Arabidopsis thaliana: one gene and its partner. The protein of the gene in region 1 interacts with the protein of each later gene in a pairwise test. Each region holds a gene or a part of one and is shown on either strand. Other genes may lie near its edges.

Region 1 (3,751 bases):
GCGATTAGCACCGAGAAGGGATGAAAAAACGATTCTTTCAATTGGGTTATCGAAGGAATCTTCGTATGAGCATAGTGATCAAGTCGGGTTTTCGAGAGCTAGGGATTTGAATTTATTGCTTTGCTTTGACTCCATGTTGGATTAAAAATAGAGAGATGATGTGTCGCAGTGACAGATATAAAAGGGTACGAGAAACCGTCATTTCTTTTCTCTCCTCTCCTTCAAATCCGTTCTTCCTTGAAACCATTTTGGCTCTCTGTTTACAAACTTGGTTTGATTTTTCAATTGCCTCTGTTTCTCTCTCATTCTCTGATTCATCTTCATCAGAATGAACAGGAAGGCCTCTGTTTCCAAGGAGCTCAACGCCAAGCATTCAAAGGTCCCATCTTTTTTTCTCCTCCTTTTCGATTTTTCACCATTGGTTTTGCGTCTGGAAAGTTGAAAGGTTAGAGATTTTGTGTGGGTTATAGATATTGGAAGCACTTTTGAAGCATCCAGACAATCGAGAATGTGCAGATTGTAGATCAAAGTAAGCATCTTGATAACATTATCTCTTTCATGATCATGTAAGAAAAACGATTTAGGAGCATTGTGTTGTTTGGATCTATCTATTTTACAGGGCACCAAGATGGGCAAGTGTGAACCTTGGGATATTCATTTGTATGCAATGTTCTGGAATCCATCGTAGCCTTGGCGTCCACATCTCTCAGGTCCCTAAATAATCTCTCTTTTAATTGATTGTGTTGTAAATGGATCATACAAATTAGGGATACTGATGAATTTTGGACACAGGTAAGGTCTATAACTCTGGATACATGGCTTCCAGATCAGGTTGCTTTCATGAAATGTAAGCTCCTCTTTTGTATATAATGAACACATTCAGTAGTTGAATTTTGTATCAATCCCATAGCTTGATCATCTTATTCTCGGTCTAGCTACCGGTAATGCTAAGGGAAATGAGTATTGGGAATCAGAATTGCCTCAACATTTCGAGAGAAGTTCAAGCGACACGTTTATAAGAGCCAAGTATTGATTCTTTTCTATGTTCGCTTTTGCTTCCTCATCTGCTACAACACAACTTTAGCTTGAATCTTTTTTTCTTCTGTTCGTGTGTGTTTTAGATACAGTGAGAAGAGATGGGTTTCACCGGGAGCGATTCAACCGGCTCCTATAGTTAGCCAGCTAAGCTGCAAAGTTAGTCACTTGGTAGAGAGTGGATATAAACCTGAAACTCCAAAGAAAGCTAGAACTCTTTCACTTGACGAAGAGATCCTTCTTCATCATGTTCTTCAAGTAACACCTCCAGAAACGAGAACTCGTGCGGTATGACAACAAATCTATATCTTTTTGGGTTCTGGTATGATCACTAGATTGGAAATTCATTCAGTTTCCTTGTTTGTCCTGTGGCAAGAATTAACAAAGCTTTTGTAGAAGGATTTTGAATCATTTCCATAAACTGTTGTGCAATGCAGGGTTCGGTAGATATGAAGGAGAATGTATATGTTGTACCTCTACCAGAATTCAAGAAACCAAATCAAAAGAATGAGAATTTCTCCAGTGAAGTAAACCAGAATAGAAGAACCACCATAGCACCACCGTCGAGCTGGGCTACTTTCGACTGTAAGGCCATGATTCAGGCTTTTCTTTTTTTTATCTTCTGTTAGTTTTGAGGTTTTGATTCTAAATCTCTAATGTGAAACAGGAAGAGAAAAGACTCTATGAAGACGAAGAAGATGGAGGTTTTGGAAAAACAAGAATCATCATGTGGGCTTTAATTTTAGTCAAAAGGTTGGCAAAGATGGGATGATGAACTCAAAGTTGGTTCTGTTTTCTAATTCTTTATTCATTCATAATCCAATTTTGGTTGCTTGTAACAAAATCATTTTTAATTCAATGGAAGAGAGACATCTTTGAGTATTTGACAAAAGAGAAAGCAAATACAAGTCACCAATGTGATTATTTTTAATTGCTGGACAAGTAACATCAATTGATTGGTCCACCATACTCCATAACAACCGTAATGATTTCAATAATCACTTTTGAGTTTGTGTTTTATTTGGTTTACACTTTACATAGGAAACGAATAAAATTAAATCAGACCTAAACACACTAACTCGGTCCGGTTTGGTTAATTTTCTTACGGGTTTATTGAGAGATGGGCCTTAGGCCCGAGAGAGAACACAAACTGGAATGAGGAAGAGGAACAGAACAGTTGTGGTGTGTTACGAGTTACGACTGAAGAGTGACGGAGATGGCGGTGAACGCGTGTCTATCTCCGCCGGAGATGATGGCTGTCCGGCCAGGGGAAGGCGTTCCGAATTCAAAATCTACGCAGGGAAAAACTAGGCTCTATCTCACCAAACCTTCATGGATAGTCAGAACTCAGGTCTGAAACCAAAAACCCCCAATTTCTATCTCTAGACTCTTGATATCATTAATAAGAATGAATTCAATGGTTAACAGTCTGGAGCTAAGACGTGTATGAAGTCGAAGGCGAAAGGACGATGCGTAATCTGCCATGGAAGTGGAAGAGTCGATTGTTTCAATTGTTGTGGGAAAGGTAAAGATAAATAACTTCTCTCTCTGGTTCTCAACTTTAAATGTCTCTTATGATTGATTTCTTCGTATTAACTACTTCAGAGAATTGAATTCTTGCTTTTTTGTGATATATGATTGAAGGGAGGACTAATTGTGTGGATGTGGAAATGCTTCCAAGAGGAGAATGGCCTAAATGGTATTCTTGAGGCTTTTATATCTGTTATTTGATTCAAGAACTAAAGGAGTTCAAAATTTTTTTTGGTTGTTTTGGTCACAGGTGCAAGAGTTGTGGAGGGAGTGGATTAAGTGACTGTTCTCGCTGTCTTGGCACCGGAGAGTACAGATACATCATGGGTTTCCGCTTCTTAAACCAAAACGATGATGCCGATCCACAATAATGATTTGGAGAAACTCTTAACGATCATGTCCTTGCCAGTTTTTGTATATGTCCAATGAGGAGGCTTAAGACTTGTTTAGTAATGTTGTATATGGTTGCTCCTGACTTGTTAATATTGTTTGTAATCTTCAAGGATGTTGTTGCAAGTAAAGAGAAATCACCAGTCTACAAGTTCTTTAGGAAGATAAATGAAACGTAGCCACCGTTAGTTTTATATTCTTAAGCTTACATTGCAAAATTGTTGTATCTTGGCTTTGTACTTACTAATGGTATATTTGGATTCTTTAGTATAATGGGAAGGTTCTGAGTCAAAATTTTAGTTATGAGCTGTCTAATTTGATTAAGAATTAGTCTAGTGATGTTTTATCTTCGGCTTTGAGTGTGAAACGAAGCAAAATGGGAGCTGATTAGAGTGTACAATTGTGATATCCGGTTTAGTCAAACCGGATTTAATACATTTTAATTTGATTATCTCGGTTTATTTAGTCAGGCGCGCATCTTTCTTCTTCTTGTGGTTCGATATTCTTATCGTTATGTCTTCCGTCGCTTTGCCGGCGATGAGCTGCCGGAGCTCAGGTGAACAAGTGAAGGAGATTCGCGTTTGTACGAATCGCACCTGCCGAAGACAAGGCTCCTTCCAGATTCTCGAGACTTTAACAGCTCTCGCACCTCCCGAACTCCGAGTCACTCACTGCGCTTGCCTCGGCCGATGCGGCTCCGGTCCAAACCTCGTGGCTCTCCCTCAAGGTCTCATCCTACGTCACTGCGCCACGCCTTCTCGAGCTGCTGAAATTTTGTTCAGCCTATGTGGTGACG
Region 2 (3,433 bases), about 12 Mb from region 1:
TTCGGTGGAAGTGAATTTTCGGGATTTGGGGTTTTTAGGGTTTGATGAGAAGAAGCGAAATGCTAGAGCTGAAATCAAAGCACCGAAGATTGCAGATGTAGAGACGAGTGTAAGATCTCGAGAGTTCATGGGGAGCTTCAAAATCGATAAAACAGATTTATCCAGAAAAATCTTTGCTCTTCTCTCTTCACTATTAAATGTAGCGGGAAACTATAAGAGAGTGAAAATCCCCGCCATTCCGGTTAAGGCAGGTCTATCATTCGGTTCATATGATTGTTGGTTTAGGTTTCGGTTAATAACTAGATTGGTTTACTGATTGTGCTTTCTCTTCTCAGCAGAAAATTATGGCAATTAACAGATTTTGGTTAATTTCATTTTTTTCAAAAATTATGTGTTATTGAATCATTTATTTTATTATTTGTTATTTTTTTTTATTTTTTTTAGTATTGAGTGCTACCAATATATTTTTTGGATAAAAAAAACTATACCGGTCCAGATTTGATATCTCAACCATCTCTTCTATATTTCTATTAACTATGGATTTAAACTTTTTTGTATCGTTGATGTTTTGACAATCTTTTCAATTCACAAAAAGGTTATAAAAGATTGATTTTGAAATTTTGGTTAATGATCTTGTGAAAAAATTGACATTACCTTTCAAAATTTTTTTTTATAACTATAGTTCTATATTCTTATTTTGCGCTTTTAAGATACCGTCTCTGACTTTTTTATTGGTAGGCACGGTTGTGTATACCTATATAAGTTTTAGTTTTATTTCGCTATTTAGTTTTCTTTTGTCTAATGTAATGTAATATGAACTGGATAGATTAAGAAAACATAAAGTGGAAACGAACAAAGTTTGAAAAATAACAAATAATTGGAAACGTACATGAAACTATGAAACACATGAAACAAGTTAATAACTTTAAAAAAAAAACATTGAAAGCATTACGTACATTTTTATCTATAAATAACAAAATGTATTTAAAACATAACGACCAGGCAATCGTAGATCACAACACAATTCAGATTAGCTATTAAACCTGTGGAATTTTGTTTTTTTTTGTCATTTAGAGCGTCTATACTAATTAATGTAATTGAGATTGCAGCGGAAAGACTCAAACCCTAGTTTCCGAATTCTCAATCCTATAAATCTGTTATAATCTTTCAACTATTTAAATCACATATATAAATAAAATATAAACTGTTATATGAGAAGAATTTGATTAAATTACTAATATATACGGACTAAGCACATAGTAAGTGAGCTAGTTGCTAGCTTTTGAATCCATTAAGCCACGTGCATCACCAATTATTACACAACCCACATCCACATTTTCATTTTTTTAAAAGGATACGTTAATTAACAAATATACAATCGCAAAGTTATTAGTTACAAAAACATATAAAATGAGATAGATGATGAAAAAGTGAAAAGGGTTTCTTTAAAAAGCCTCTCATGCTTCAATAACGTGATCCGTTTATATCCCATCTTCTCTGTCTTTTCTTCAACGGAGATTTTCTCTACACCTTAACTATTTTTTTTCTTCCTATTTCTATCTTCGTTTTACTAACCTACCCTCCATTATTTTCACTTTACAAGTATGCTCCTCTTATGTTTTGGAAAAAAAAAAAACAATGAAATTTTGCAATTGCAAGTTATGTCATAATATATAGTAGCTTTAACGTAAAAAACAACATTAATCACGTTTGCGTTTACATGTTTATATTATTTCGACATAAACGCAAATAACATGTTCATCATTATAAAACATTCTAAAAATTTGGTTATTGGTGACTATTTATTTTGTAACTCGACAAAACTTAAAAAATCTTATATATCTAACCTATTTTTAACTTTAGTTGATTGTTGTACAATCACATCATTTCGTCTTATCATGGAACCACACTTGACAACAAATTCACATAATGGCGGTACGGTGGTCGTTTGTTAACTTTGAGGATTATATAAAAACCCAATGATCAAATAACCCAAAAAGATATGCATATTCGAATAAGGGGTTATAAGTGTAATTTCAAGTAGATAGTATATGTGCACAGACACGAAGCAGCTTACATATAAAGTGATTGGTAATTGCCATCCCCACACTTATTGAGAAGTGCAGCCTTTTAGCCAAAAAAAACAAACAAGAATACAAAAATGGCTGAACAACAAGATCATCACAAAGAGCTTCAGCTTTTACCTTCTCCACCGTCTACCGAATCTCCGGTAAGGAAACACCGACCAACAGTTATAACAACCGACCATCACAACAATCACCACCGTTCCTCCTCCATGATCCACCACGATCTTGACCTCAAACTCTCCATCAGCCTCAGCTCGATCTCAACAGCGGAGGAGCTTCCAAACGGTGGTGTGGAGGCGTTGAAGTGGCAAGCCGCGGAGCAGATAAGGCTTGCGGCTATAGAGAAGGCTTACGCCGAGAGGGTTAGAGAGTTGACTCGCCGTGAGATGGAGATGGCTCAGTCTGAGTTTGCTCGTGCAAGGTAGTTAAAGCTAGCTCGATCAAGTAATAATTCTGGTTTTGGTTTGGTTAACGGTTTTGAATTGTAACCAGGGTGATGTGGCAGAAGGCAAGGGAAGAAGTGGAGAGAGCTGAGAGATTGAAGGAGAGATCAATGACGAAGATCGATACGGCTTGCTTGGAGATCACTTGCCACTCTTGCAGACAAAGGTTTAGGCCATAACATAAGTATTTATTTGTTTCTCTTAATTATTGTTATTATAAATGGATATTTGAAGAGAAAGAGAATGTTGGTTTAATTTAAATTTTATTTTGTAGTTAAATTTAATTTGTTTTCATTTTCGAGTTTGGTAATATTATATAGTCCTTCCTTTTTATTTTCTTGAAATCGAAGGAAAACAATATGCTCAGATAAGAGATGATTTATGTTTCCAGCTACTTTACTTCCTCTTCTTTGCCAACCAAAAAAAAAAAAAAAAAAAATCATGAATACCATTTAGTGAATTACTTGGGAATTAGGGATAAAATTCATTAGTTACGTTGTCAACATTAGCTATGTCAATTCCTCAACGATCAGCTATTATATACTATATGGAGTATTAAAATCTAACTATGACATTTATTAACCAACAGAACAAAACCTAATTAGTAATTACAGTGATTAGTTAGTTAAATGCTTGATGTTAAAGTAACAAGAGATGGAGTGACATTCACAATCGAGGAACGTGGAAAATAAAAAAGAGAATGGACGGATTGCATGATTTGAATATAATTGGCTGACCCATATGTGATTCATTTGATTTGTTGTAATCATCTTTGAAAACGTTCGTTCAATGAAAATTGATGATTATTCTGAAAACAAATAATCAAACACACGTAAAGACATATGCATGGAGATGATGGGTATAATTATTGCATTAACATGCTTATTTCATCTACTTTAATCT

The links.
Region 2: the proteins of ENA (region 1) and AT3G48550 interact in a two-hybrid assay, tested with the Arabidopsis thaliana proteins (one large-scale study listed by BioGRID).

What each region holds. Positions count from the first base shown.
Region 1 is NC_003074.8:6,037,389-6,041,139, forward strand, and holds ENA (DnaJ/Hsp40 cysteine-rich domain superfamily protein), read left to right. Parts: upstream 1-2,019; 5' UTR 2,020-2,251; coding exon 2,252-2,386; intron 2,387-2,463; coding exon 2,464-2,560; intron 2,561-2,679; coding exon 2,680-2,734; coding exon of another isoform or gene 2,735-2,744; exon of another isoform or gene 2,745-2,815; coding exon 2,816-2,936; 3' UTR 2,937-3,245; downstream 3,246-3,751. Other genes in the region: AGD15 (ARF-GAP domain 15), read left to right, coding at 329-379, 471-529, 620-710, 793-847, 936-1,026, 1,122-1,323, 1,473-1,664; AT3G17670 (tetratricopeptide repeat (TPR)-containing protein), read left to right, coding at 3,469-3,751.
Region 2 is NC_003074.8:17,991,887-17,995,319, forward strand, and holds AT3G48550 (SHOOT GRAVITROPISM-like protein), read left to right. Parts: upstream 1-1,932; 5' UTR 1,933-2,161; coding exon 2,162-2,508; intron 2,509-2,579; coding exon 2,580-2,709; 3' UTR 2,710-2,893; downstream 2,894-3,433. Other genes in the region: AT3G48540 (Cytidine/deoxycytidylate deaminase family protein), read right to left, coding at 1-129.